4 linked regions of the Rhinolophus ferrumequinum genome follow. The protein of the gene in region 4 interacts with the protein of the main gene of each other region in a biochemical or structural test. Links are inferred from orthologs where the notes say so. Each region holds a gene or a part of one and is shown on either strand. Other genes may lie near its edges. The genes, in order: ATR, PPM1D, PPP2R5A and CHEK2.

What was found.
Region 1: of the proteins of CHEK2 (region 4) and ATR, one has a biochemical effect on the other in vitro, tested with the Homo sapiens proteins (2 studies listed by BioGRID). The link is inferred for Rhinolophus ferrumequinum from reciprocal best matches to the Homo sapiens genes CHEK2 and ATR.
Region 2: of the proteins of CHEK2 (region 4) and PPM1D, one has a biochemical effect on the other in vitro, tested with the Homo sapiens proteins (2 studies listed by BioGRID, with this or other methods). The link is inferred for Rhinolophus ferrumequinum from reciprocal best matches to the Homo sapiens genes CHEK2 and PPM1D.
Region 3: the proteins of CHEK2 (region 4) and PPP2R5A form a complex in vitro, tested with the Homo sapiens proteins (2 studies listed by BioGRID and IntAct, with this or other methods). The link is inferred for Rhinolophus ferrumequinum from reciprocal best matches to the Homo sapiens genes CHEK2 and PPP2R5A.

The regions. Positions count from the first base shown.
Region 1 is NC_046285.1:1,898,621-1,906,696, forward strand, and holds the start of ATR (serine/threonine-protein kinase ATR), read right to left. Parts: upstream 3,091-8,076; 5' UTR 2,976-3,090; coding exon 2,917-2,975; intron 1-2,916. UniProt on the Homo sapiens protein: Serine/threonine protein kinase which activates checkpoint signaling upon genotoxic stresses such as ionizing radiation (IR), ultraviolet light (UV), or DNA replication stalling, thereby acting as a DNA damage sensor.
Region 2 is NC_046304.1:24,997,751-25,005,632, reverse strand, and holds the start of PPM1D (protein phosphatase 1D), read right to left. Parts: upstream 3,148-7,882; 5' UTR 2,922-3,147; coding exon 2,450-2,921; intron 1-2,449. UniProt on the Homo sapiens protein: Involved in the negative regulation of p53 expression. Required for the relief of p53-dependent checkpoint mediated cell cycle arrest.
Region 3 is NC_046305.1:19,976,779-19,984,653, forward strand, and holds the start of PPP2R5A (serine/threonine-protein phosphatase 2A 56 kDa regulatory subunit alpha isoform), read right to left. Parts: upstream 3,284-7,875; 5' UTR 2,548-3,283; coding exon 2,367-2,547; intron 1-2,366. UniProt on the Homo sapiens protein: The B regulatory subunit might modulate substrate selectivity and catalytic activity, and might also direct the localization of the catalytic enzyme to a particular subcellular compartment.
Region 4 is NC_046308.1:18,318,545-18,326,085, forward strand, and holds the start of CHEK2 (serine/threonine-protein kinase Chk2), read right to left. Parts: upstream 3,284-7,541; 5' UTR 3,174-3,283; intron 2,337-3,173; exon of another isoform or gene 2,159-2,336; intron 1,021-2,158; 5' UTR 1,015-1,020; coding exon 645-1,014; intron 1-644. Other genes in the region: iron-sulfur cluster co-chaperone protein HscB, read left to right, coding at 3,500-3,735, 4,854-4,950, 5,263-5,352, 6,066-6,210, 6,487-6,534. UniProt on the Homo sapiens protein: Serine/threonine-protein kinase which is required for checkpoint-mediated cell cycle arrest, activation of DNA repair and apoptosis in response to the presence of DNA double-strand breaks.

The sequences.
Region 1 (8,076 bases), on a different chromosome or scaffold from region 4:
TCACTATCTGAAAATATCTTGTGATTACAAAGTAATTCTAAAAAGGAAGGTCAGAAAAGGCTCCTCTGAAATGACATCTTAATGGAACCAACCAGTGTTCAGAGAGAAGAGCGCAAAGGACTGAAGGCAGGAAGGACCTTGGTGTATACGAAAAATAGACCAATATTATTGGACTACAGTGAGCAGATTATGCAGGAATTTAGAGGCCTTGGTAAGGAGTTTGGATTTTATTCTAAGTGTGCTAGAAAGCCAAAGGAAGATTTTAAGCAGGGAAGTAATGCTATATAATCTACAGTATGATTTGTAGTTATAAAAGTCACTTTGAGTGCTGAGTGGGAAATCCATTGTAAATGAGTAAAAACGGAAATGGAGATAAACTGAGAGGTTACTGTAATAGTCTAGATAAGAAATTGTGATGGTAGCTGTGGAGATGGTGAGAAGTGTATTTCAAAGGCAGTCGTGACAGGACTTGCTGGTGGATTATTAAGGGATAAGGGGAAAAAAATCAAGGAAAACTCCCTGGCTTTTGGTTGGTACATTTATAATAACCTGGAAAAGGAACAGGTTAAAGGACAGTAAATTATAAGGTCTGCTTTGGATATGTTAATTTTCATTTCTGGGTGTAGATGTTGAGTAAGCAACCTAATTTATATCTCTGCGCTAGAGAAAGTTTGGGAGTTATCAGCATATAGATAATATGTAAAGTCATGGGACTAGATAAAGCAACTTAGGAAGAGAGTGAAGATGAAAAGAGAACCAAGGACATAGCCAAAAACACAGGGAGCCAGGAATGATTCCCAGATTTCTGGTTTGGAAAAATGAGTGAACGTGGCATCATTTACTGAAATATCCCTACCTCAGTGAATGAGAGGAATTTAAAAAAAAAATCTTGAGCAGGTTGGAATATGCAGAGAATTTGCATTGGATATGTTAAGTCTTAACTGCATATGGGAAACGCAGGTAAAACTGCTGTTATCCAGTACATATACTTCTATTGGAGACAAATACGATTTGGTGAAACACATCTGGAGTCATCAAATAGCAGACAGTAACTGAAGGCAGGAGAGTAAATGAGATCACCCAGAAAGACTATGCTAAGTAAAGAATGCTAACGACAAAAAAAAGTGGAACAAAATTTATCCCTGAGAGATAGAGGTAGCGGGAGCCCACACATTAGAACTGTGACATCTCATTTTTTTCTCACAAATCTAATTGCCACAATTAAAGAAAAACAAATATGGGAGAAAATGCCTTGATGTCTTCATCTGAAACACAGCTCTGATAACTGCTGTCTCTTTGCCTTTGCTTCTTCAACCTCTGTGACTCAGTTTCTTAATAGTGATATTTGTCATGTTCTATATCATAGAGATACTGTAAGACTGAATAAGCTTGAATGAAGCAAGTGCAATGAAAAAGTCATGACAATTAAAAACTATCATTATACAATTCTGTGTGGGTCAGTTTTTCAACTCATTCTCAGAATTACAAATGAATGAAATGAAAGATAACATAGGAGTAAGCTCTGTTGATGTAAGAGACTATAAATAAATCTAAGATACTATTTTTATTAACAAGTCTCATAGAGGAAGAGCAAAGAGGGAAGAAAAGTATTAATAAGCTAATTCTCCATTAAAGCAAGATAGGGGAAGCATACTGAGCCTGAAAGATGAAATCTGTACATCAACTTCCTGAAATGAGCACCTGTATTCAGCTTTTTAGAAAAGTAGATGTTACTTTACAAAATATTAATACAAAATGTTTGCACCTAATGCAAAGTGAAAACAATTAACACACACAAAAATAGGATTAAGACAAATATGGTCCCTTCATTTATCCTCTTATTTATGTAATGAAGGAAGACTAACATCCTTGTATGGCCAACAAGTGGAGATGAACACAATTGCACAGCAAAAAAGAAAAGGAAATTAAATATCTGGTGGGCTTAATGTTAGTTTTGACTTTGTGTGCTAAATTGTCAAACAGTTTAAGAAATTGGGAGGTAATTATTCTGACAGTTCAACTGCAGTAGTGGTATACAAGCCCACTTACTTCTTGTCTGCAGTGGGTTACAATTTTTAAAAAAGGAAACACACATAAACACTGCCTTCTAGTCTTTAGACCTGGTTGTGGGAAGGTTGCGTATGTGTTGAAGGGAGGAGGCACCCATCAACATCTGTCCCTTCTCATAGGTAGGATACTGGTTTACATGATTTTACTCCCGAGTTTTCAGAAAACAAGCTTTTGCAAATAAAACAATATTATCTTCATGTTTTGGCAACATTCTGTGCATATTTATATTTTGTGAACGTTGTGGCCTATCCCTGGGATTTCTGACTAAATAACGGATTGAAGATTGCAAGAGGTCCTATCTTCAGAGTGGCCTACGGTTTCACTTCGAAGATAGAAACTGCCTTTTCTAATAACTGGCCTTCCTTGCACAAAACCAGAACTAGTGATTTTTCTGCCATGAGCTGTTCTGGATCAAAACGTGGAGCTAAAAACCCAATTCGTCCACGACCGATCATAAATTGAAAGGGGGGAAAGTCCATGGGTCAAGTCTCCCATGTACGGCAAGAGGTTTTCGAGAAGCAAATAAGTGCAAGAAAGTGACGAGAAGTGGCCCTTCCCTCCAGCTGCAGAGAACACCCAGTGGGGACGAGCTCCCGGGCACCGCTGAGGTAAAGCGGAGCCGGCAGACGTTTCCCTCTCGGACTGTTCCCTCAGGTCTGCAGCGACGCCCTAACCGCCCCTCTGAGGGAGAAGCGCTGGTCAGGCCCGGAGCCCACCACAAAAGAGCCGCGGCCGGGATTCAGGGGATCCAAGCCGGGGCGCGTGCGGTCGGGGAGAGCACGTGAGACGCCAGCCGGACTCAGCGGAGGAGGCCGCGGGGCCCACGACGGCCGGGCCTGGCCCTACCTGCCCAGCTCTCGCAGGGCGGGAATCATAGACGCCAGCTCCAAACCATGTTCACCCATGCTGAGAATGCGCTGCGCTCGTCGGCGCCGCAGAGGCGGGCTCCCGGCGTCTCCACAGTTTTGGAAACGCGCGGCGCCCGACGGGTCCTCACGGCGCCCAAAACTCCTCCCGGAAGCCGCGGTTGCCCCGCGCGCTAGGCCTTCTTCCTGTTCTGCGCAGTGGCTGGGGGAGGTCCGGAGGCCCAAAATGGGCGGGACAAAAAGGCGGGGCCCGCGCCTGCCCAGTCGCCCCCGGCGGGTTCTCGCTGAGCCCGGAAGGCCCCGTGCGAGACTCGCGGAGAGTTTCGGGGCTTAGCGGCCATGTTCTTACTCCTATCCTGGGAGGCTCAGCAAAGTAAAACCGCCGGATCTAAGGAGCAGAGGGGCCTGAAGGGCACCAGGCCAGACTGCCTCGTATCGCAGATGTGAAAACTGAGGCACTTCAGCGAGTAAAGGCTAGCTCTCCCCAAGTCTCCCCACGGCGTAACGACCTCAGGTCCTCTTTTTCCTACCACTCTTGACATCCTTTCTGAGAAATACGGTGCAAGAGGTGGGCTTCTCTCTCTCCTTTCTGTTTCAGCAGGTTTTTTAAACTTCAAGTCTTCTTAGGTTTCCTTTAAACCTTTCGTATTTAAAAAGGGGGCTGAATTGTATTTATATGTGTCTCATCAAAGCAGCAGCAGTACTGTGTGTGTCACTGTTATGGGCATCTACTACATATGACTTAATGTTTAAATCAGTGGATTCTGGTTGTAGACATTTTCTGGCTCGACCTAATTTGTTTATTCGAAAGGTGGCCATCATAAGAGACTTAACATGTCAAAATTAGGTGTTTAATCAGGCAAAGCCATGCAGTGTGCTTTCATTTGTTGTTGAGCACTTAAGGATAATGGTTGATACAGTATTTTTTAAAAAATCAAAGTGATGGAATGACAGCCGTATATGTTCCTGCTTCAGGGATTTTGCATTTGCTGTACCCTTAGCCTTGACCTGGACCACACTTCTCTCATCACCCCTCAAGTATTTGCTGAACCGTCACCAGAGAGCATCATATAGACTACACACTTAAACTCACACTCTTTCCCCCTCCATCCTGTTTTAGTTTTCTTCAGAACGCTTAAAACCAAACGATACATTACATACTATTTTATTGACTATCTCCTCCAATTAGAACGTGGGCTCCTTGAGACCAGAATCCTGTCTGTTTTATTCACTGCTTAGATGCCCAGGACCTAACACAGGGCCTGGCACATACTTGGTATTCTGTGAATATTTGTTAAATAGTTGAATGATAAAGTGGAAAGAAGATGGTGTCAGGAGTTAAGAGGCTGTGCACAAGTTCTCATTACATCTTTTAGAACCTGTGTTACCTAAAGTTACTTAACCTGTCTGTACTTCAGTTTTTCATCTATAAAATGAGATTAATAATAGCTACCTCACAAAACTAAGGTAAAGATTAAGTAAGGGGTGGTAGAGTCATTCACTGGAATACCATTTCTTAGTCAAAATGAAGTGTGCAACACATGCTAACAAAGATAAATCCCGAAAATGATGTCAAGAGATAAAAGCAATCGCAAAGGAATACATAATAATATTATATCACTTACATACCATTTTTAAACCACAAAATAACACTTTGTGTGAGTTAAGTATAAATACATAGATGATGAAAGATTAAAAACATGGTTGGGAGGGATATACATCAACTCCAGGAGAGTTGTACCTCTGGAGAATGTAAAAAGGAAATGAAATTACAAGGCTTCAGCATATCTCTGAGGGTTTTCTTTTAATAGGTTCTGATTAATCATGACAAATTAAACATTTGTTATATTTAGATGGAGGTTATATAACTATTTGTATCTCAAAATGTATAAAGAAATACATATACTTTTTAAAGATTAAATGAGATAACCCATATGAAAAACAGTTTATAACTAACAAGTAACAAATGTTGGGTATTATTTTTGGATCATATGAAGAAAGATTATAAAAATTACAACGTTACATGGAAGGCAGTAGCTGAATAGCATTGTAATTCTAAAAGGCAGTGTAAACCCCCAAGCATTAGAAACAGTAGAGCTTTGGGAATCCAATTTAATTCAAAAAGTTATTTTGTGCAAGATACTGTGTTAGGTACTTCTGCGACATAAAGATGAGGAAAATAAAGTCAGTTTCAAGTATGTACAATCTGTGGATGTAAAAACGATGTAATAACCCAGAAAAATAAATGCAAAGCAAAATCCGATGGATGCCATAAGGAGATATAAATAGCATGCATTGGAAAAATAGAGGAGGGAGAGACCGTATCTACTCCAGTGGAGAAGAGGTATATCAGGAAAGGGCTCAAGGAGAATGTGGCACCATATGCTAGACCAGATGTGAAAGATGAGCAAGATTTTAAGAGACAAAGATTGGAGAAGAGGCATATATTCTAGCTAGAGGCAAATATCTGAACAAAACGCATACTGAAGGAGAGATGAGTGATTCATTTTGGCTGATGTCAAGGAAAAGTAGCCTGAGACACTGATAAAGACCTCAGTAAGCGATGGAGAGGCACTGGGAGATCTTATATAAAGAGTGACCCAGTCAAAGCTACACTCAAATCTAGCAGGAGGGTACAGGACAGAATAAAAGGGGGGTAGTAGGTCATTTAAAGAAATAAAACTTGTTAGCAATATATCAATAAAGGAGCAGTTGATGTCATTCCAGGCAGACATCCTTTCTCCAGGTACCTATATATTTCTCAACTCCACCAAACTTTTTGAGTTTTTCATACAGCTGATTCTATTTCCTCATCTCCCACTCAGTCTCAATCCTACATACAATGCTCTTTGTCCTGCCCGCGCCCTCTTAAATGCCTCTCACCAATTTCACCAGTTGCACCAATGGTTTTCATATGGCTGAATCCAAAAAAACTGTTGATCAGCTCTTCTTTTCCTGACCTCCCAGCAGCATTTGACAACATAGACTAATGCCTGCTTCTTGTAACACTTTCTTCTTTTGGCCTCCATGACTTACTCTCTTATTAGCAACACTTCCTTTGCCATCCCATTCACTGTTGGTATTCCTCAGGGTTCTAACTTAGCTTCCTTTCTCTTTTTATTCCTAGGTGACCACGTTCACTCTTAAGGCTTCAGTTAACTTTCTGCCTGCTGACCACTCCCAAATTCTTTGCTGAGATTTCTCTCTGAGCTTTATATTTCATACGTCTACCTTCATATTGAATTTTTGCCCTTGAATTATTCCCAGGCACTTTAATTTTGTTTAACTTTTTATTATGAAAAGTTTCAAATATACACAAAAGTAAGAGAAAATAGAATAAAGAATCCCCTTATGCCCATCACCCAACTTCAGCAGTTATCAGCACATGGCCAGTGTTTGTTTCATCTATAACCCCCCCCATTTCCCCTCTCCCTAATTGGATTGTTTTAAAGAAAATCCCAGACATCATATCAATTTATCTGTACTTATTTCAGTTTGTATCTCTTAAAGATAAGGACTCAATTCTATCTTCTAAATATCAAACCGATCCACTTCCCTCCAAATCTCATTACTATCTTTCTGGTTTCAGACCATCACTGTCTCTTGCCTAAATTACTTCAGTAGTGTTTTAGCTTGCCTTTCTTCCTTTAGGCTTGTTTTCCCTCCAATCCATTCTCTACACTGGGAGTCTCACAACTTTTTTTTTTTTTTAACTTTTATTGGGGAACAGTGTGTTTCTCCAGGTCCCATCAGCTCCAAGTCGTTGTCCTTCAATCTAGTTGCGGACGGTGCAGCTCAGCTCCAAGCCCAGTCACTGTTTTCAATCTTTAGTTGCAGGGGGTGCAGCCCACCACCCCATGCTGGAATTGAACAAGCAACCCTGTCGTTGAGAGCTCGCGCTCTAACCAACTGAGCCATGCGGCCGCCCCTCCGGAAGCTCAGCGGCAGCTCATTGTCTTCAATCTAGTTGTGGAGGGAGCAGCTCACTGGCCCATGTGGGACTAGAACCAGCAACCCTGTTGGTCAGAGCTCATGCTCTGACCAACTGAGCTATCTGGCAGCCCCCTAACTTTTTTGATTGTTCAACAATATTGAAATCTTAAAAATATGTACCCTAATATGTGCATATTTATTTATTAACCACATATATTTAGTACTATATTCTAATAACATAAAAGTCATGATAATGTAAATTTGGACATAACACAACTGTTGATTTGTTCCTGTTTTCCTCTCACCTCCCCGTTTCATCTTTTGGGGGGAAGGGATTGAAGTGTGGGGGGAGAGTGAGGCAGGAAGCAGAGAGACTGAGGTGTCCCATATCAAATCGACAAATGGGCATAAACCTATGTCCTCCTGGAAGTTTCATATAGCCTGTATATAGAATTGTCCCCACTGTTAATTAAACTAGGGTTGGAATGACCACGAGGTGGCACTACAACTCAAATGAGATCACCTGGTTCTCAGATGCCCAAACTCTTGGCTGCCTAATTGTGTAATTTCCTTCATAATGCACTGGATTTTTCTTACTCCATTTGTGGTATTCTTTCAAAAGTTTACTATATAATTAATATCATAAAGTATACACTAAAATAGCTTTAAAAAATGAGATAAAAAATACAATATTACATACAAGTTCATTTCCAGACTTGAATGGACTTCAATATACACCTCGTTGGTACACTCAATGATTTGCATTTTAAATAATTTTTAATAATTTTAACAATTTTTAAAAGTATTATTACTTATTTTTTTTGCATTTTTAATAATTTTAAAAAGTTTGCTCCTAGGCAATGCTGATGTTCTTTGGAATTGTTCTATACAGCAGACAGGACCTTTTCAAAACCCAAATATGATTATTATGCCATTCCCCTGCCTTAGTAACTTGACTATGTATTGAATATTGTCAGACAGATTAATGGGTAAAAAAAAGCACACATCTTTTGTTCGTTTCAATTGGATAAAGACTCATAAGAGACAAATACAACCACAGGGCAACATTCTGAAACTTAAAGCAGAATCAATGATCCTGTGTAAACAAACTGCACAAATGCACTTGTCCCATTTAGTAGAAATACTAAAAAAAAAAAAAAAAAATTGCAAATCATCTAGTTCTCATAATATTTAAGGAAATTAAAAG
Region 2 (7,882 bases), on a different chromosome or scaffold from region 4:
TTCACCATTATCTGAAAAGACAAACTATTCCTCCTTTTCCGACTGCATACGTGTGTGAGGCCTCCTTTGCTTCATATACTTCAAGACAAGACAGCTCAACAGACTCAATGCAGAAGCAGATATAAGAATACTTATTTCAATATTTATTTTGGGGAAAAAGTGGTTTTACATTTAAAAATGTTAACATGTTTATTTTTGATAGATTAATAAATATTTTTTAATTTGTTTTAATTTCTCATATATTAGTAGTAAATGTGATAGATGTAGCCCACATAAAAGCTCTTTGGAGTCCTCAATCATTTAAGAGTACAAAGGGTTCAGTGAACAAAAACTTTGAGAACTACTGCTGTAACCCAATGAGTACTTCAAAAGTAGAAACAAAGGATGTTTAATTCCAAAAGAAAGAACTCTTCACAGAAGAAAACATAGACTTAGAGACTGAGGAGTATATTTTTCAGTTTTGTTTTTTTGTGTGTGGGGGAGGGAATTTAAGAATATGGACTATTTCAATGTGCCCTAGGAAAAAGATGAGTAAATTAATGTGACTGAAATGTGGATAACAAAATTGAACAGGGAGTCAGAAGGTGGACTGGGAAGGGACTGGCCTCTAGATTATAAACTATAGTTTATTCTACAGAAAATGAGGAACCATCCATAAATTTAGAACTGAAGTACAATTTTTTTAAAAACTTGCATCTCCTGTGTCCAGACTTCCATACACTCAGCATACTCTTTTTTAATTCAAGTTTTGAGGATGGGATACAAGGTTTAGCTGCGGAACACAGCAAACTTTAATATTTGTCTGGTATATAAGGCTCTAAACCATACCTCACAGGAGTGAAAACTTGATTGAAAAAGTATGTGTACATCAAAAAATATACACATTCACATTTAACAGTATGGTCCCTGCTTTACGAAAAAATGCTCAAGAAACAGGGCTCAGACTTTGTTCTTTTTCAAACATATGGCAGAGTCATGTTGCTCCAAGTGCACTGCAAAATAAATGGGACTAAAGAGTTCTTTGTGTCTAATCTTCCTCTATCTTGTCTTGCTGTCCATTCCTAGTTGCACTGCAGGCAATGAAATGACATATTTCTGGAATATACTGCAGTGCTTTCAGCTCTGCTCTGCCTACACAAAAACAAAACAAATCCATAATAGGGGCCTCTGGGATTGGATGGAATACGCCTCCAAAAGGCGTACTGGTTACTCTATGAGTCAATCAAGTAATTCTTGGCAGAAAGCCAGGCAAATAGAAAACAGACTTTGAAAGAAGCTAGTCTACAATTCTATGACAATACCTTTTAAAAAATGTTCTGTATTTGACCAATATTTACACTCTTCTCTATGTCTCTGTCCTTCTGCTGAAAATAAAGCAACATTATGCTATCGTAAACAAGATTTCTTTAATGACAGAATTTAATCTTTTCTCTAAAAAAGATTTATGCCATTCATTCACAGCAATGGATAAGCAACTATAACTCTGTATGGTAACATGTGTTGGGTACAGAAACATTGCTTTAGAAAACATTTAAAGTTTAGGTGAAACTACAACGACACCGAATTTTTAGACATTAAGCTCTCTATTTCCTTTTAGCATGTCAGTAACTCCCCCTTACCTCTGGCTACTTTGACAGGGAGTTACAACTTACAGGTACTTTTAACTAGGAACTGTTGAGAACTATCTGACAGCAAATAACTAAAGCCAACTACCTCCAAAAACGTGTACTGTACTTTTAAAAAGCCCTGGCAGAATGTAACACACAGTCCTAACGTGGGGCCAGTTTAAGAAGTAACGCATTCCGCGCTTTTTTTCATAATCAGCACAAACATAAAGACCCTAAAAACATTTTATGATCACCACAACCGAATTCCTTCCAAGGCTTTTTAAGTCGCTGATGATTACATTTTAGCCTTCCTAAATTAGCCTACAGTTTACTCCAACTACCAGCCATCTGGGATCAATTTGGAGAACTGACACCACTGGTAGGAGGCAACCGACAGGGACAAGTCTTTCAAGAGCAAAATTATGACAGATTCTAAGGGAACACTCTAATATTTGCCATCTCTCGCTTCCTTCGCGTGGCCCTGGTAGCAACGTGTTTTCAATTCACCTTTGGCCAAAATCTGGCGCCAGGTTTCAAACATTTTTTCCCCCAACTGCCACCAAACTGAAACAGCGGAGAGGACGGCTTCCCATTGATCCTTGAAGGGTGGAAATAAAGCAAGGATGGGTTGTAGAGAGACAGCAATCCTACCTTTCCCAAGACCACTTTCTTTGCCCGGACCTCCACCCTGGAAAGTGCTATTAGACCGAGAGGAGTCTTCATTTCTATCAACGTCCACTTTGATAGAGCTTCTCGGTGCCGCGGCCCACGCGGTGCTGGTACTATAAAAGCCCTCAACTGCCTGAAAAAGACGCGGGAGCCAACCAAGCCAGGGAACTTACCCAGTTTCTTCCACATGGCGAGGTGACAGGCGAGGAAGCCCTTGCGAATGGCAGCGCAAACCTTCGCCGGCTCGGATGAGGTGAATCCCTTCTGCTTCTTGATGAAACCCCACAAGTGCTCCCGGGCAAACTGTGCCGCCTCCCGCCCGCCGTGCCCATCGCACACAGCGAAAAATGCCACAGAGGAACGGCGGCGGCAGCAGCAGCCGGGAGCCGGCGAGGCCCCGGCGTCCGCGGGAGGGTCGCGAGCTTCTCGGGCTGCCACCGCTGGGCCTTTCCCCGAGACTTCGCAAGCAGGAAGAGCCGGCGGTGACCGCTGCAGAGGCGACCGCTGAGAGAGAGACCGCCGCGGCGAGGGCTTTTCTTCAGCCGTCGGCTCCGGTTCCACCACGATTTGAGTAACGTCCTCCATGTACTTCCTCCCGCCCTGGTCGGAGAAGACGCTCACTCCCAGCGAGTACAGCCCCGCCATAGCCGGCTGGCCGGGATCCCGCCGGTCCCACGCAGCCCGCCGAATCCAGCGGCGGGAGAGACACCCGACCCTCGCTGGCCAACTATTGTTTATCTTCGACGACGCCGAGAAGGGGGAGGGGGCGGTCCCGGAGGTTGGCGTGCGCGCGTTGTCGGGACTTGTCCGCGAGAGCTGGGCCAGAGCGCTAGGGCAAGAGAAGCCGAGCAGATGCGCCTGCGCAATGCTCTTCCCCCGCCTGCCCGCGCCCATCACACAAATCAGACGTTCTCCCCAGCTGTCGTCACTCTGTTCTCTGGGCCTGGCCAATCTGGAGTCGAGTTGGGGAGAACCCGCCCTCCGCCCCCAGCCCTCGCTCCTCCCAGCAACTGCCAGTGTTCCCTCGGCCCAGCGCGGGCACCCGGCGCGCGCACTCCGCGGGTCGCTTCCCTTTTGCGGTGGGTGTTTCCGCCCTCCGGGTTATCGGCGGGTACTGAGCACTTATCGGGCAACTTGGTCTGTCACCTTTTTACTCAGTCCCGAGGACCGTGATGCTGCTTACTGGCCTTGGCGTTCCTGCTCGTCTTTCGGGGAAAGCCGTGTAGGTTCGGGCCTCCACGAATCGAGGGGGAAAGACCTTCCATTCCTTGGAGCGAAATGGCGGGAAACGTTACTTCGGAAGGTCGTTTGTGAACAGGCTGGAAAAAGGGCCGCACTCTAGAACTGGGTTTGGGTTAGATGCATCCCACTGGGAGTTGAGAAGGGAGACAATCCAATTTGTGTGGTTAAGAAAACTTGGGAAATTGCTACCATCAGGTATACAGTTTCGTTTCACATGACTAGGTATGTCGGAGATTTAAAAGGTTATATTTTAACTAATTGTTAACATATCTTTTCAGCTTTTGTTAAACGTAGTACTTTTTCCAGTAAGCCCTGCGTACAGGACTTATTTTTTTTTATATCTTTGGTAGTATCACTTCAAGTTACCACTTGAAAATAACAAAAACTGCCAAGCGCTCCAGTGTCTAACAGTTTGGTTATAGTCTCCCACTTTGCGCCCAGTAGGTTACAATATAAGCTAAAAACTATGCACGGATTTCCACGGAATTAAAATAAGCCTCAGAGTGGGCAGGTTAGTATGTTCTCAGCAGCAAACGTTCCTGTAGTTAATCAATTTAAAGTTCACTTTTTCAGATTTTGACCACTTCACCATCAACTCACCTATGTGCCCTTTAATGCACAGACTTCAGGATTTTCCAATGGACTGATACTAATACAGAAATGGGAACGGGGAAAATGTTCATACAAACAATTGACATAATACAAACAAAAAAAATCCTTATACTAATAAAAACATAAGCAAAATCAGCTCAAAATGTGGAAAATCTGAATAGATTGATTAATTAAAAAACGTAGTCAAATATATCCCCACTAGACCAGATGTTTCCAGAGTGTAAAAATACTTGGGGGGAAAAAAATCCCAGCTCATTTTGAAACATGTTCATAACCCTATTATCAAAACCTAACAATTATAACACTAGAAGGAAATCTATAGATCATGTTTTATAACTACAAATGCAAAAACACTAAATGAAATATTAGCAATTTTAATCCAGTAACCTCCATACCACAAGGCCTGCAAAAAAGAACAGTTTGTGTAGCTCTATATTATTCTTAAACAATTTACCCACCTTTCCTCCTCCTCTAGAGGTTGTAATTCCATCATTATAATCCTTAATCACAACCAGCAGCCTCCAGGTCATCTGTCATTACCCTGATTAGCATCTCCATGCCACCCTCAAATTCTATTAATCTGATTCATTATCCCAACCATCCAACCACTTCATCCTGCACTTTAGATTTCAACATCTGTTATCAGCCATTTCCTTTATTCTTCACCTCTTCAATGTTCCCATCAACTTCCTGTTCCAACTAAAACTGGCTTATCAACTAGCAAAACTACCTCCCTTGCAACTTTTCAAGTACAAGAGATCATTTTTCCTCTCACAGGTAGTCTTATCCTCCAACCTGCTCCTCATGTTTCCTCCAAATCATTTCTCTTCCTCCTTCAAAAACCCAAGCTCTTTTAAAATTAATGCCAACTGCTACTACAGCAAGAGGTTGTCACCTACTGATGATCCCTGGTAACTTAATGCCCCCTTCATTTGTTCATGTTTCACCATCTTCATTTCTTCCACTATTCTTGTCACTTTTCAGCAATGTTTATTGGGGTGACAATTGTTAGTAAAGTTACATAGGTTTCAGGTGCGCAGTTCTGCAATACATCATCTATATATCATATTGTGTGTTCACCACCCAGAGTCAGTTCTCCTTCCATCACCATATATCTACCACTCCCCTGCCCCCCAACCTCTGGTAACCACTAAACTATTGTCTGTGTCTATGAGTTTTTATTCATTGTTTGTCTTGTTCCTTTGTTGTTTTCAGTTTTACATACCACATATCAGTGAAATCATTATGGTTCTTAGCCACTTTATTTTTTAAAATGTTATCCACATTTTCCAACCAAGACCCTGACTTCTCCGGTTTTCATCCTCCTCTTCATGGTGAAGTGGCCCTGCACTATTCAAGGCACTCCCTCCATTTCTGTTCTAGATCCTTTCACCTCTCTCCTTCTCAGAAGATTTGCTCCACCAGTTATCTTTTCTTGTTCCTATCTCACCAATTTCTCCTTTCCTACTGGGTCATTTCCATCTGTGTACGGACGGACATATTATGGTGTCTATTTTAACAACAATAAAAACCTACCTTAACCCCCCATATACTGCCCTACTTCTCTGCCCTTCCTTCACAGGAAAAACTTTGGAAAGAGTTGTATCTATCTAGATTCTACTTCCAATTCCTAACTCATAATTTCTCCTTAACTCAACCAATAGAGCAGGGGTGTCCAAACTGCGGCCTGCGGGCCAACTGCGGCCCACAATCCATTTTTTGTTGGCCCGCAGCAAATTCCAAAAATATATTTAGTTTACTTAAATAAACCAGGTGAAGCAATATGTACTTCACCTCAAGTGAGTGGCCCAGCTGTTTGTGTATTGGCCCTTGGTAAAAAACGTTGAAAAAAGTTTGGACACCCCTGCAATAGAGCGACCCTCCACTAAAACTGTTTTTATGACATAACCAGACCTCTCTATTTCCAAAGCGAATGATGATTTCTCTGTTCTTAATAACTTTCGTCCCAACTGAAGCAGAAAGTGGAACTATTGTTTCCCTATTGAAACGCTTCTCTTGGTTTATAAGAGGCCACACTATAATGGTTTTATTCCTACCTCGTTGACTGACCACCTCTTCTCATTTTCCTTTGCTGATTTCTCCCCTGCTAGACTTTAGATTGTTCGGAGTACGCAGGGCTTTGTTATGGGCTCTTTCCTTTACCTACACTCTCTCTCTAGGTAACACCATTCAGGACCATAGCTCTAAAAACTGTCTGGGGATGGCTCCCAAATTTATATCTCCAGTCTTAAACTTTACCCTGAATCCCAGACTCTATATGCAACTGCACGCTTGACAGTTCCACATAAATGTCTAATGGGCATTTCATCTTAACATGGCCAAAACAAACTCTAAATTTCTTCTCCATATCGCCTTCTCCCTCAGTCTTACCCGTATCAGTAAGCATCACCATTTTTGTTCAAGCCACAAAACATAAAAGTTTTTTTTATTCCTCTTTCCTCCACTCTCCTTCCTATTTCCAATCCTTCTGATTCATCAGCAAATCCTTTTAACTAACTCTTCAAAATCAATACTGCACCCACCACTTCTCACTACCTCCGCCACTACCATCCCAGTCCAAGCCACTATTACCTCTCATGTGAACCACTACCATAGTCTCCTCATAAATCTTTCTTTCACATTTGACCCTCTGCAATCCTTTTCTACTAACTACTATCACGCTCTTTCAAATCAATAAATCAAGGGGCTCAGTAAGAAAGGTGAAAGAATTAAGAAGTACAAATTGGTAGTTACAAAAGCGTCATGGGGATGTACAGTACAGTATGGGAAATATAGTCAATAATATTGTAAAAACTATGTATAGTGTCAGATGGGTATTAGACTTATCGGGGAGATCATTTCGTAAATTATATAAATATTTTATAAATATATATAAATATATATATAAATAAATATATATATATTTATATATATTTACATATATATAAATATATATATAAATAAATATATATATATATTTATATATATTTATAAATATTTATATAAATATTATATAAATATAAATTATATAAATATAAATATATAAATTTCATAAATATCTAACCACTACACTGTACACCTGAAACTAATATAATATTGAATGTCAACTATAATTTTTTTAAAAGTCACAGGGATATATAATACAACATAGCGAATATAGTCAATAATATTCTAACTATGTACAGTTTCAGATGGCTAATAGATTTATTGGGGTTATTACTTTGTGAGGTATATAAATGTCTAATGACTACATTGTTTTATATACCTGAAACTAGTTTTAAAAAAAACATAAATCAGATCAAGTCATTCCCCTACTCAATACACTGTATGAGTTCCCATCCCATTTAAAATAGTATGCAAACTCTTTATGAAGCCCTACAAGACCTGTTTGGTCCCTAAATGTTTGTCTAACATCATTTCGTAACAGTTTCCCCATTCCCCACTCCCTCCAGGCCTAGGGGCCTTTCTGTTCCTTGAACAGGCCAAGCTCTTAGAAGGTTTAAAGCTTTTTGCCTTAGCTATTAACCTCTCCTTAGACTGCTCCCCCCTACCTCCAGCAGCTTTACGAGGGTGGAGTCTTCTTGCTATTCAGATCTCAGTTTAAATATTAAGGGATTTACTTCCTAACCATCCAAACCATCCAGACTAAAGTAGCCACCCAATATCTATCGCACAACTATTTTAATTCTGCAGAGGACTTCTGCCTATCTGACCTTTTTATTTATTTGTCTGTTGACTCTCTCTCCCAATTA
Region 3 (7,875 bases), on a different chromosome or scaffold from region 4:
AAGTGTAACATAAGCAGGATGGTATAAACACTTGAAAGATCTTGGATGCCCACAGAAATCTGAATCACTCCACAGTAGGATTGTATTTCAGAGCAGGAAGAAAAATTCTCTTTCATACACATCTACTCTTTTTTGTTAAGGCCACAAATGGAAAAAACTACTACTGACAGAAAAAGCACACAACGCTGTGGTATCAAGTACACTGCCAAAGTACCAAGCAAAGCAATTGAATTTTTGAAAAAAATCACTTTTCAAGCACTTTGGAATCTGAAGTAAAAGTAGTTTTTCCTATTAGTGGGTAATCCAAGTAAGGGTCTCATTTCCCTCAATTAAGTTTGCATAAATTTATCTTGAATATATAACTTTCCTTATAAAGAAAATTATATTTTCATGCAAAATATATATATAATCTAAATTTCCACGTTTTCCTCTACTAGCGACAAAAATACTACAAATAAAACATACTGTGACCAAAATGCTGTTATATAAATAAAACATTCAATGGCACCTTCAACTTGTTGCACTATATATCATATAACTTAGATGATTACTGACACTGCGTATTTTAGCCAGGCTTTTAAAAACAAATGTATTAAAGCTGCATCTCTTGGCTTGAACCAACCATGTTTAATATTCAATTATTTGTATTAAATAAAAGTAAATATTATATTAATGACAATACTAAGGAATCACAATACCTCACTAAAAAACAAATTAAATAAATATGAAACGCTAGCACCAAACCTTTAAACTTTAAAAATAATTCAACAATTTAATGAAAAAAAATATAAAAATAACTGTGGTTGTAATTAAAAGTTAAATCCATGAATAGCAAGTCAATGTTCTAATAGGTAAGATGATATTCTTTTATGGCTATGACATCACTCAAGAATTAAAATTTTGGCAATGCCTACCATTGTGGTTTACCATTGACTACAATACGTAAATTTTAAAAATTTTTGTATGCTAAAAAGCAAATGATAAATGCAGTAACACTGGCTACACACAGCTTAACTAAAACCGTCTTTAAAAAGCCAGTTTGATTCTGGCCTGGGATGTTCTTGATTTAGAAGCACCCCCAAGAGGCAGGGCCATGCAGGGTCTGAATGGGGTTCCAGAGATATTGTAGGTCAACTGTGATTTGATCTTGGGTGTTCTTTAAACTCCTAGCCAAACTAAGGCTGAATTCATAGGCCCAAAGACAAATCAGAATGAAACTGGTTTTGAAGAGGATGAAATGGATTGAAAAATCTGCTGAACATTCATCTATTTTAGTATAAACCTTTCATTTCCTGGCCTTGCAAAACAGATGATCTAAATTTCTATTAGATTTCTTTCATCAAAAAAATTGTTTTAAATGTCTAGGAGCATTATCATCTTGTTCCATGATGATTTCAATCTCACAAAAAACGAAGACATTGAAATAAAATTAAAAGTAGTAATTCACAAAGAATAAACTAGACCACCAGGAAACAATTTTTTTAAATCCTCTAAACTTAGTGGGAAAAGTGAGTGAGCCAAAAGGAGTGCCAAGTTCTCCTTGCCAGGCATTAGGCACGGATACCCATTTGAATTACTGTACAAACCTACAAAGTCCCTGGAATCACTGCTTGGCAAACGAAGTTCCCATTCCATTGCAAACCAACACGATCTATTCCTTTATACGTCGCCAAATTTACCGTGTACACCTTCTCGGACAATAAAGTATTTTAAGTATTTCCAGTCTTCCGGGCCAAAGGATAACATTTAAACCTAACGACCCAGTTAATAAGACACTACACCGATCAGGTTTTACGTTTTTTTCTTTATAAAGAAATCCAAAGGCCAGGTAACTAACTCTAAACGTTGTTTGCATTAGGATTCCTGGTCTGTGTGACTCTTTGAAACAATCAATGGGAGGGAGTTGAGACGGTGAGTGCAGGCGCTATTGAAAAAGTAAAGGACTAGTTAAGAGTGTCCGAAGGAGGAGGTGCGTCTCCGGATAGTGAAGGTCGGAAGGAAACACAGATTGTTAAATAAAGCAAGATGGGAAAGACAAGCCTGAGAGAAGAGGGAAGAACTGTACCTCGCGGGACGCACGAGAGTTCCAATCGCGAGGGCAGGTGACTGAGCGCGCAGGTGGGGAGAGTTGTTGGCCTCCACTCAGATGGGAAGAGTTAAGGGAATCAGGGAGAAGTAAGAAAAGTAGCAAGACTCTTAGCCTCAAACCTGTTGGAATCTAAGGGGGATGGGGCGCCAAGGCGTCGTGGGGAACACGACTCGCACTACCAGCCCCAGCTGGGCAGAAGGAACCCACAAGGAAACGGCTCTGCGGGCGCGGGGCGAGCCCCTGAGCTCCCTGCCCCGGCTGCGCCCTCGGAGGTTACCTTTGAGCTGGGGCAAGGGGTGCAGCTCCGCCTGGCTGCCCTGGCTGCGGAACTGCGACGAGCCCTGGGAGCGCTTCTGCCTCTGCGCCTTGCGCACCGATTTCCGGGTGAAGCCGTCCACTTTCTCCGAGGCCGAGATGGCGGCGCTGGCAGTCCCCGCCGGCGGCGACGACGACGACATCTCCGCAGCCCTGGCGCTTGGCAGCTCCGGCTGCTGCTTGCACGGAACGGGCGGCGGCAGAAGGAGGATGCGGGGGAGAGGCGCGGAGCGCTCGCGCCCCTCCGCCCCGTCCCCCCGGCCACACCGCCCTTCTGCTCCCGGGCGCCGCCGAGCTTCTCCTCGCTGCCCGCCAACGCCTCACGGTCGCATCTCAGTACCGGAGGTTCCTGGTCCCCGCTGCGCGGCGGGCTCCCGGAGGCAAGGGCGGGGGCGGAGGGGGGTGAAGAAGTTGTTGACTCCGGGCGCCAAGGGCGGTGGAAGGGAGCCTGAAGTTTAGACAACTGAGGCGAGGGCGCAGGGGTGCGGACGTCGAGCGCGCCTCTCGTTCCTTCAGCCCAGGTTGCCAGCCAGCCGGCCGGCCAGCACCTCAGTGGCCGCTACCAGCGCAGCCCGCCCTGCATGGAGCCTCCTCCAGAGGCGCTGCCATCGCGGGTCCCCTCCGAGCCGCTGCCACCGCCACGGCGCCCGCTCTTCCCTGTCAGCGCCAGCCCCTCATCTCCCAGGGCGGTGACCCGCCGCCCGGGCTCTGGGCACGCACACACACACACACATACGCGCGCGCGCTCCTCGCAGCGCGGAGCCGTCCTAGCCCCCTCCCCCACGCGCCCTTCCGCCGCCCACGGAGAACCCCCAGCGAGCGTCCGCTACAACTTGAGAAGGTGGTGGAGACGCGCAAGGGGTGGGGGGAGTGTGTGTGCGTGCGCGCGCGCCGGGGCGTGCGACCCGGGGGAGGAGCCTTGAGTGGGGGTGGGGTGGGAGGAGATTGACAACTTCCGCGGGGTCCCGCCAGCCTCTAGGGTGCTCGGGAGGGAGTAGGGGGTGGGCAGGCATCCCAGCTCTCTCAGCCAATCACAGGGCTAAGCGGCGGGAACGCGGTGAGGCGTGGCCTCCTGGAAGGTGTCTCAAACTGGGAGGTTAGAGAGAGGAATGGGGCGTGGTTATGGACGGACTTAGGTCACAGCCAATCGTAAGTGAAAATGGCGAGCCCGGTGCCGCTTGCGTCACAACAGCGCAATGAATTTTCTTGGTAGGGGAAGTGCCCCTTTACCAGTGAGCACTTTGTCACGCCTGCGCGACAGCTTCAGGCAATAATTGCTCTTATGACAGCCTATGAGAAGACCAGAAAACTAGAGGGGTTAGTTTAGGAAGCAAACTAGAATGCCCTTCCCTCTCCTCTCTGCTGGCCAATGAGGAACTGAAGCGACTGGTGGAGAGCTTGCGGCCTGGGGCGGGAAAGAGCGCCAGGTGTTACGTCACTGAAAAGGGGCGAGCAAATGTAGGGTGGGGAACCAACAGTCAGCAATGTGATTGACGAACGAAAGAGCCTCGGGGAAGGCGAGGAAGTGGTTCGTTCAAGCGGAGCGAGGTACTGGACTCCTGCGCAGGCCTTTGAGTCTCGCTGCCCCTAATCCTAATTGGTAGTTGCAGAGTAAATTGGTAGTTCTGGAGTGGCTCAGGCACCGCAATTCCCGAGAACTGTTCTCGCGCCAGGTTTGGGCAACTCTAACATTTACTTCAAAGATTTCTCCAAATCTGCACCCTCCAAGAAGAGGTTCTCATTTCAATTTAGTGTCCCATTAATTTTTATCCCTTCTTCAGCCAAAGGCCTTCAACTACTTCAACAGAACGAGTACAAATTTGTTCATCAGTGGTTTGGGGTTGGGGAGTTGCCATTTACTCTTACTGGGATCTCTTGGAGATTCCGTCTATATTTTAAACTTATTAAAGACAAAGACTGGTCATCCAGTCTTTTGTGCAGTGTTTTCCGTAGAATGATGCTTAGTAAAAATATTTGAGCTGATGCGTTATATGAGAAGTAACACAAAAGGGAACCAAATATTCTCTCTATCCTATTATAAGGTCCAAAGTACAGAAAGTACTAAACAAAATTCAGAAATTGATTTGTCATTTACATAAAAATGGTTAAATACTTGGAGAGTAGGGTATAAAAAATTCTTAAGCTTAATTTAAGCCTAGAAAAATAAAATAAGTGAGCTGAACAGTTTTGTCTCCCTTTATCTTGGCAGTTTTGCGCTGATAGACCCAAATCTCCATTCCTCTCTGGAGAGCTCCAACTTTTTCCTTTCGACATCATTGAAATAGCTGCCCATGGATTTAAGCAAAACTACCTGATGCATATGTCAGAAAATTCCAACTTTGGGTAGGAAGTTGGATTCTAGATCTAGAAGCAAACTTAGTCCCTTAAAATAGTTCCTTCCTCAGATTCACTGAGTGATGAAATTGTACACCGTCCTCCCAGTCAAGGAGCTTGGAACCTCAGCAGCATGTTTGACACTTCTCTTTCTCATTCTGTCAAGTTCCAGACCATGTTGAATTACCTTCACAAACGTGCAGACCAGTGCTTCCTCATAATTTGCACAACCGACCACCAAACATAGTTTGTTTCAGGGCTTGCAACCTCAGGGCCAGTTCAGTTTTTAAAAGTGCCACTTTTCGTCTTTCCAAAGAAGACATAGAGATGGCCAACAGGCACATTAAAAGATGTTCAACATCACTGATTATTAGGGAAAATGGAAATCAAAACCCACAATGAGATGTCACCTCATACCGGTTAGAATGGCTATCATCAAAAAGATAAGAAACAAGTGCTAGAGAGGATGCCAAAGAAAAGGGAACCCTTGTGCCCTGCGGTGGGAATGTAAATTAGTACAGTCACTGTGGAAAACAGTATATTATTCCTCAAAAATTAAGAGGGAACTACCATATGATCCAGGTATTCCACTTCGGGTTATTCATCTGAAGAATTATGAAAACACTAATTTGAAAAGATACATGCACACCTACATTCATTGCAGCTTTACAATAGCCAAGTTACGGAGACAACCTAAATGTCCATGTCCATTGAGGGATGAACAGATACAGAAGATACACACACACACACACACACACACACACACACACACACACACACCCCTACACCCTCAAATGGGACACTACTCAGCTATAAAAGGTGAAATCCTGCCATTTGTGACAACACGGATAGAACTTGAGGGTATTATGCCAAGTGAAAACACATCAGGCAGAAAAAGACAAATATGGATGATTTCACTCATATGTGGAATATAAAAACAAAACAAACCAAAAAATAAAAAGACGAACTCAGAGGCAGACAACAGATTGGTGGATACCAAAGGGTAAACGGGGTTAAAGGAAGAGTGAAATGGGTTAAAAGGGAATGGATGGGAAACTAGGACTTTATGGTTATCATTGAATCACTTTTCCTTAGCTGTGAGGTCTTTTGCCCCATCTCAGTGAGTTGTAATCATAAATGCCTGATAACCCCTGGCATATCCAATCCTCTTGTCCTTGCAGAGTGGGTCTAAAAAGCCTGATGTTGGCAAACTCTCCACACTTAATTCAACCCTGCAAGCATTTTTTTCAAGTGCCTTCTCTGTGCCAGGCAATATGCCAGACACTAGGAATGAAAAGGTAAATAAAGCATGGACTTAAAATTTAGTGAGAGGGACAATATAAACAAAGGATCAAAGACTATATCATAAGTGTGCCTTATGGTGTGTGCAACAGTGGAAAGAAGATCAAATTTGGTTTGAATGAAGAGGCAGAAAAATTTAACAGAAAAAGTAATGCTTGAAGTGAGGTCTTGAAACAAAACAAGTTTTCATACGGATAAAAACAGAAGAAAAAAAATACTTCTCATTCAAGAAATTAGCTTACCCACATTTCTTCATCCCTGAAAAATATTTCCATATCTCTGGCAATGAATTTATTTTATACGATATGTTACCAAAAGTTTTTTCCCATTGCAATAGAAGAATATATTACACTATACCTTGTGTCAGAATTTGACCTGGAGGTGGATGGACAATATAAAAAATGGACATTAAATTCAATATATGACTCCCTTCTGGTATATTCTGAGGAACAGTGATTGCAAAACTACCATATGGGTTCTTAATGTTCCTTTCATATGCAGATTTTATATAAATCTATAAGTGGTGTTTCTCTTTCATCCTCCTGGAGGAAGCATCTAATAGGTTTGAGGGCAGTCCCTGTCTTAATACAAAGCTGCTGCATGACAGCAATGTGTCCTCTCTCTCTCTCTCTCTCTCTCTCTCTCTCTCTCTCTCTCTCTCTCTCCTCTCTCATCACATTTATTGAAGGTTGGAGAAAAATTAAAATGCCATTTAGCTTAAGAATTTGTAAGTCATCTGCAAATCAAACTCATTTGGAGTGGAAGAATCCTTGGTCATTTCTTAGTATCAAAATTTACGCAGGTTTTTTTCAATATCTTCTACATTTAAAGAGGCAATCAGTCTCCTATTTTCCATACAGGATAAATTCTTTGTTTCAGCCAACTCTCAATGGAGAGGCAACTAGTACAACATCATCTCCCTGGACAAAGAGCATAGAAATATTCCGTTTTGTTGATTTATATGTTTCTTCATCAATTTATATAGTAGTCACAGTTTCTTCCACATCTCCCAGTATCATATTTAAATGCTGACCATAAGCATATAATCTACCTGGAAGCTCTCTGTCATTTCTCATTTTCACATAAATTCGCTCATCCAAGCTGAGCCTGATGAGATCCAGGGGCTCTTTATGGTGTCGGTAGTTTGTTGCTGGTCCATATCGTCCACCACATTTCAATGTGTTCTCTCTCATTGGCTTGCTATTTTAGCTCAAGCTTGTAGAAATAATTAATTTGAGAATCCAATAAATCAACCTTATATCTTCAGTGTCAGTGTGGTCTCTATGGCTTGAAAAAGCAGTATTAGTGGTACTATAGGACTTTCAGGAATTATTGAACTGGAAATTTCCAATGTTTTCAGATCCTAGCCTTTACTTTCAATACCAAAGAATATAGCTTTTTAAAAAATGTGTGTGTCTGTGGGTGTATATAAATACAATCACCACCATAAATTAACTCCTACTATGTACTAGGCGCCATTCATATAAAGCATCTGGCAGAAAGAGATCAAATGAGATCTTCTCTTAAAGTGTCTCTCAAGTGACACTCCTTTCGATTCCCCTGGGAGCTTGATTCTGGTAACTCTTGTCATGTTCTGGAGCTATTTATTTATTTATTTGTATTCTAGCCTCTCTGGGGTCCTCTATTCTTCTCTTGCAAAAATTAGTGGAGATTCAAACTCTATTTATCATTTCTATACAAAGGCATTCACACAAAATGAAACTGAATAGATTGTACTGTCAAGACCATACCATTTGCTTTAGCACTTTACAAATTTTGTGTATGTGGAACTATGAAGTACTGACACCTAGAAGGAAAATGTGATTATCACAAGA
Region 4 (7,541 bases):
GGACTTGAACCCGTATCTCTGACTACAGCACCCTCAGCCTGCCCTCACGCCCCCAACCACACTGTCACCTTTATTTTCTTCCCACTCAAGCATTTTGAATCTCTCTACCAGATTCTCTCACACTCATTTCATACAGTAACAAGCCTCCCTTGGGTTCCAGTCCCCTTTGGCTGCTAACTAATTTCATTACCTTTCTTGTCCTACTCACTTTCACAATGACAGGTCAAGAACACAAGTTTAAAGTCTGAAAGTCATAGGTTCAAATCCTGCCTCTCCCAACTCCTGACTGTAAGATTGTAGACAAGTCAATGAATTTCTCTCTAAGCCTCAGTTTGCTCTTCTGTAAAATGGTGGTAAAAATAACAATGCTCTCTCATAGGATTATTTTGCAAGTTAAATAGGATAGTCTCAACATTCCACCCAACATCAGGCCAGCATCAGGTGGGGAGGAGCTGTCTTAGTGCAGGGAAGACGACAGGTCCTGGCACAAGTTCAAGACTTGGCACAGGTGCCCATAGTCCTGGATCAACTTGCACAGGCCCCACACTGGCAGTCTTGAGCTTTTTGCTGCAACAAATGTCTGTAATTGCTTTTCTGAACACAATATTAATATCACACATATTAATGTAACAAAGGGTTCTTACCAAAATTGGAGAATCCATCCTGCAGGGCCCATAATCGAGCCCAAGGAGCAGGGACGGGCTCCTCAGGTTCCTGGTCCTCAGGAATAGAATACAGTTCCTGAGTGGACACCGTGTCTAAGGAGCTCAGTGTCCCCGAGCTGGAGTGAGAGGACTGGCTGGACGTGGGTACTGTGCTGGTGGAGGAGCTGGACGTGTTCTGAGACTGTGAGCCGGAGCCTTGGGTCGGTGAGGAGAGGTCATGGGATTGCGAGGAGAGGTCATGGGACTGCGAGAAGCCGCCTTGGGACTGCGAGCAGGCACTGCTGCCAGGAGACTGCGTGCCGGCACTGCCGTGGGACTGCTGACACTCCTCATCCGTCTCCCGAGACATCGCGACCTCAAAAACAAATGTCCAACAATAAGTTTCAAGAAACAAGACTTAAAGTTCAAGAATGAAGGATGGGAATATTATGATGGCAATAATAAAAAAAAAAAAAACCCAGGGCAAGCATGCTCTGCAAAACTTAAAATTTTAACAGTCTAGACCTATAGTTCTTCTGGGCTGAGTTTCAACAGATTATTTTCACTGGATCAGTTTTTTGTGTGACAGTCAAAAACCACAGGGGGAAAAAAATCTTCAAAGGCTATAAATAAGTGAAAAGCAATAAACTGAGTTAGGGAGAGGAAAGAGATTCAGGGAGAAGAAAGAGATTTGTAATGGCTTACATTCACCCTTTTGTTTTGTTTTGTTTTTGTTTTTTTAATCAAGGACGACTGGGGAGCAGTGTTTTATACCAGGACCCATCAGCTCCAAGTCAAGTCGTTGTTTTCAATCTAACTGTGGAGGGCGCAGCTCACTGACCCATGTGGGAATCCAAACGGCGACCTTGTTAAGAGCACCACACTCTAACCAACTGAGCCAACCAGCCGCTCCCATTCCCCCGATTTTTAAATATCAGAAGTGAAACCTAGACTGGATTCATTAATACAATCAACATTAAATTTAATATATGTTTTGGAAAGAGAAAGGGGAAGGGTCTAGTGGCTTGGGGAAAAAGATGGGCAAAGGGAAACTGTTGTTCGCCGCACCACTCCAGGGAGGACATTTACATAAAAAGGTCACTGATGCCCCTCCCCTAAACTAGCTCCAGGAAATTGATTCCTTGACACCTAAGGGCTGGGCCACTTAAGGAGGCAGGCAGAAGACAAAGACTGCTCTAAACAACTCTATCTCCACCTTTGTGATGCTAAGTAACTATCCACTCACCTTTTCAGCATCCGAAAAGGCCTCCCAGCCCTGCAGAATCTTACAGAAACCATTCTTTGAGCTACAGGACACCAAAACAGAGGTTCCCACCCTTGCTTTAGGATTAACTTGATGGACAGTCAAACTCTGATAACAGAACCCACAGTAAAGTCGAAGTAACTTTCAAACCCTAACTTTTAAATCCCCAATCTGATTTTTTTTAAAGGTACATTCTCTCCCGATCCCCACACTCAGGCCACTCCTACAGAACATAGTAAGGATTACTCACACTGACTGCATTTACACAGCTTTCCAGATACAAAGGTCCTGATGAGTTTTCCTTAAAGCACCCCAGGAAGGTGATGCCAGAGATGAGTCTGCCACTCCAGCAGCTCTAATACTACCTCAGCCAGGCTGAGTGTGTCCTTCTGCAGTTTTTTTTGAGCAAGACTTCTCCGCCCTGAAAACTGGCAAAAGACAGTGTGTCAAGAGGTAACTATCATCGCTTATGATAAATAAGGGTCTACCAGGCTGGGATCACACTGGCCTCAGTGTAGAGAAAGTACAGTGGAGTGGTTAGAGGCAAATAGGTCTGGAGTCAGATGCCTAAAAAATCTTTGCATGACCTTTAGGTAAATCAACCTCTTGAAACCTTATCTGAATAAAGTAGATAGATCTTTCCGATTAAACGAGATGATACATGAACTCTCCTCCTCGACTATCCTTGATAATTGGGACAACAGAATTCCAATCCCCAAGAATCCAACAGCCGGAAAGACCTTACAAGTGCAACACAATCTTTTATTTTCTAATAGAGAAACCGAATCCCAAGGAGGACTGGTACCCCTACCCTCTCCTAGCCATCCCATTCCACACACTTACTTATGGACACTTGCATAGCATCCTCCTACACAAGTAAGTATATTTCCAATTCCTGCAGTGCCTATCCGCTAAAAATGGGTTCTCAATACGTTATTTTCAAGATTGAATCTAAAGTATGGCAATAATTACTGACATTTCTAGAACTCTTCACAAAGCAACTTTGCTCTCATTTTGAAGAGCACAACTTTGTTCCTTCTTATCCTGTATGTCTGGGCCAGTTACAGCTTGTAAGTGAGGAAGTAACTGGAAGTTCATCTACGAAGGAAGAGAGTCGTCCACGCATTCCTCTCACCCCACCCCACCCCCGCCGAAGCTCAAACAGAGCTCAAAGCGGAAGCTCGAGAGATTTAGTTCGCCTTAATTCCCTGAGAGCGGGATTCGAACTCCCACACACCAGACAGAAGATCCCCACTATAACTCACCTCGTGCGCCCACCTGGAGCCACAGACTCACAGCTACCACCACTAGCGAACTGGCGCTAAACAGATACAAAGTCCACCCTCAGCCAATCAAAACATTCCTCCGCTTCTGCCGGACCAATGAGGAGCAGCGGATGTAGCCGTCCACGATAGCCTCACTGCTTGATGGGAGTTGTAGTTTAAAATTCAGAGCGGGACTCAGAATCCAGGTTTCCCTCGGGTGATCCCGCCCCCTCAGTCCTCCAGCCAATCAGCAACACTAGTCTGGTGGGCCATTTGTCCCCTTATCCCCCTACAGGTGACCGCGGCGAAACTAGGCCGCGAGCCAAATGTGGAGCGGGAGAACCCGAGCGTTGCTCCGGGTGTGGGGGTTGTGGCCGACTGGGGTCCTCGGAAGGAGACCAATAAGCTGTAATGCTGCGTCACTAGCGGGAAGCAACTGCCCCCAGTGTTGGAACTGCGGCGGCCCAAGGGGCCCCATTGGTGGGGACGGGTTCTTCTGCCCGCAGTGCCGTGCGCTGCAGCCGCCTGACTCCACTCGGGACCACTTCAGCCTTATGGACTGGTACGGAAACGGCTTCGGGAAACGCCCCGGAGCGAGAGAGAAGTCAGGGATAGAGGTGCGAGAGGGAAGGGCCGATCAGGTTTGGGAAGCAGAAGGAGGGGCCAGTTAGATAGGTGGGCGGAGCCTTGGAGACCAGTGTCTAGGTGGGTGTCGGGCCTGGGAGAATGGAGGATGGTCCTGAGAAAGAGGAAATTGTGGGGCGGGCCTGAAGGAACGGCTTTGAGGGATGGAGACAGGGTGGAGGGAGGACTGGAGGGGTGGGAAATGAAGTTAGAGGAAATTGAGGGACGGAGACTACTAAGGTAGAGGGAAACTTGAGGGGCGGGCCCTGAGAGAAGGCGAAGTTGAGAGGTGGGGTCTGAAGGAAGGGTCCTTGAAGGGCCCTTGGAGAAGGGAAACTTGAGGGTTAGGATCAGAACCATAAAAGTTGGGTTGAGACTTTTAAGAAAGGAGTACTGACGTGTTATCCAAAATAAGGGAGTAAAAGCATGGAAAAACTTAATACTGTGGACAGAGCCTAAGGGAAAAGTGAGAATTGGAGGGAGAAGATCTGAGGAATAGGTGTTTTTCTTGTTTTTCTCTCAAGGTTGAGGAGCTTCGGGGAAGTGGTAAAGTTTGGGCGGAGCTAAACTTGTAAAATGGGGCAGGCTCTGGGAATAGAAAGCAAAAGGGATTAGGTTAAAATAAAGTGGGAGGCGGAGATGAAGGAACCCAGGCCTCGGAAAGATAGGGAGGGATTGGGAATCCCCCTTCCCCTTAACTCTGAGATCTGACCCCACCAATCACTGTGCACTTACGAAGGGCTGCAGTAACACTACCCTTTTAAGTTCCTCAAGGGTGGGAAACTCGTTCCCACCTCAGGACCTTAGCACATTTCCTCTGACATTTGATTACTCTTCATCATCATTCATCTTGCAGCTCAAATGCCATCTCTTTGTCCACCACATTTACCACTCTCGCAGACCCCTTTCCGTTTTTCTTCACAGCACCTACCATTTTTGGAAATTATCTGTCTGCATGTTTATTGTATATTTCCCCATGGGAACAGGAACAAGACCCATAGTATACAAATCTATAAATACTTGATGCATGAATGTTATCTCCCTATTTTCTTCCAGCAACCGTTCCTTCAGAGTTGACACTGTGAAGCTCCAGCATAGGTACCAGCAATTACAGCGTCTTGTGCACCCGGATTTCTTCAGCCAGAGGTCTCAGGTAGCCTATTGGCCACCCCTAATCATACCCACACACATATGCATTCTGGGTGGGTGGCGGTGGTCTTGCGGTTGTGTGATTATCAGGGATAGCCAGCTCTATCCTGTGGCAACCAGACGCCAGCCAGGCAGGCCCTGGACCTGTCCTGCAAAATTAGAATCCATCAGTTGAAAATAAATAAATCTTATCCCACACTGGTTCTATTTTGGCCACTTCCTTAAGTGCCTGCCCATCAGTATTTTATGAAACAGCTTGTGAATATCAGATGGCTGATTTGGATGGTAATAAGACTATCTCCATATCCACTAACAGATTGAAAAGGATTTCTCAGAGAAGCATTCAACCCTGGTGAATGACGCCTATAAGACCCTTCTGGCCCCCCTGACCAGGGGAGTATACCTTGTAAGGTGATTTCCCAACCCTTCTGTGCATGACTGCCTGCTGTCCACTATGGTACAGCTGCTGCCCTGTATTCAGCAGAGGAGTGCTTGAGACCTGATCTAGTCCAGGGACCCAACTACATTTAGCCTCAAAGATACTACATGATGGGGGTGGTTGGTTAGCTCAGTTGGTTAGAGTGTGATGCTGATAACACCAAGGTTGCCGGTTCGATCCCCACATGGGCCACTTTGAGCTGCGCCCTCCTTAAAAAAAAAAAAAAGGGGGTGCTACATGAGTATAGTTTTCTCTGAATATCCTCTGTAAATGTTACTTGCCCAATTGCATTTTTTAAAAACCATTTTTCGATAAATTCAAGGATTGGATGGTGATGACTTTTAGGAAAGAGTAGTTTTGGACATTTTTTTTTTTTTTGGAGGGTGAGGTGAACACCTTAGAATTTTAGGATTTAATAGAATCTTCCCAAATATCTACTTCAAGCTCTCAAGTGGAGAAATGACTCCCCATGGGTCACACAGTTCTAAGTAGCAGAAAGGAATCCTGTTGAAGCATTCATTTCTCAGTCCGATGTTCCAACATCCTACCCTGACACTTTCATTGTTAGGACAGTTCAGGTTTTCCCTATGAGTGGTATTCTGTTCAGAAGGGTGAGTAGGATTGACTCTGGTCGTAGTCTCTTGAAGCAAACTTATTTTCCCTACTTTATGCCCAAATAGCTAAAGCTCCATGGTGTAGAGATTCCTCAAGGAACAGATTGTGAAATGGACAGGGAATTTCTCATGGAAATAATGGATATTAATGAAAAACTTGCAGAAGCTCAAAATGAAGCTGCCATGAAAGAGATTGAATCTATTGTCAGAGGTAAAAGATAAAATACCACCAAATGCATTTTATTGCTGTTAAGAGTGCATGTCCAGCGTTAAGTGAAAAATAAATATAAAGAATATATATTCGCCTCATAAAGATTCAGGGAGGTTTTTTTTTTCCCCTTTTGATTATACCGAAACCAATTTTATCTGGAGGTGAGACTTGTAACATCCCTACCTCTCTGGAATGTAGCCATAAACCAAGAAGTGCTGACTTCATATCATGAGTCAATTTAAATAGAAAAATTACAATAATGGTTTTCTCTTTCAGCTAAACAGAAAGAATTGACTGACAGCGTAAGCAGAGCTTTTGAACAAGGTACTTTCTTCATTTCTTGACTTTCTTAAATATGGAAAGAAATTGTAAGCACTGAGGTACAGCCATGCATTCAACAAGTAGCTATTATATACTCATGATAGGTACCTGGGGAGGTATTAAATATAGATGAGTCTACATTTTTGTCTTCAAGAATTCACAATCTTGCTGCAAAAACAACCTGTGTGCCAAAAACAATGACATGCCAGTGAAGGAGTATATGAGGGAAAGTGCTTTCATTTCACTTTAACAAGTAGAAGATAAGGTGAGGGATGGGGGCTGAAGCCAACCAGTAGATCCTGAGGGCAAGGCTGCACAGTCAACATTTGGCAAAGCCCGCACACCCCTTTTTCTGCAAAACCCGGAAGGAGAAGGCCATGACAGAACTGTGCCCAAATTACAACTATGGAATATTTATCCTTGTCCCCACTGCTCCTGGCTCTCAGGTTGAAGAGACTATTTCTATTTCCAGCTGTTTTTCCGCAAGAACAACTTTTCTCTCCATTCCTGACTGGTGGCCACCGCTTAACTAAGAGAGTAATGGCCCTTTGGCTTAGGATTCATTTGATTGCAGGAAGCAGAAAGCCACTTGAGCTAGACTAGATAAAGGGAGGTGATTGTAAGGAAACAGGGCTACCTCCCAGAATCCAAAGAGAAAGTCCCTGTAATGATTATAGGACAGTGTGACAAGAGCTTTTCTGGGAGAGAACCTGGAAACCAGACAGCAGTCTGGAGCCAAGACTTTGGTCCTGGACTCAGTGCCCCTGGCAGTCACTCCATCCTGTCCTTTCTAAAACCACTTCTGTCTGCTTCCTTTTTAGTATATGGTACCCCAAAGTGGCCTCTCCCACTGGATGACTCTTTACTCCTCCATGGTCTATTACCTTATAAGAACAAGGCCTCTCACCATCTGACTAGAGTCCCCTAGACCCAACTCTAGATTTCTGAGAGAGGGAATTTGATTGGCCCAGCTTCATAGCCAGATGTCCATTCCAGTACAGTCAGCTAGG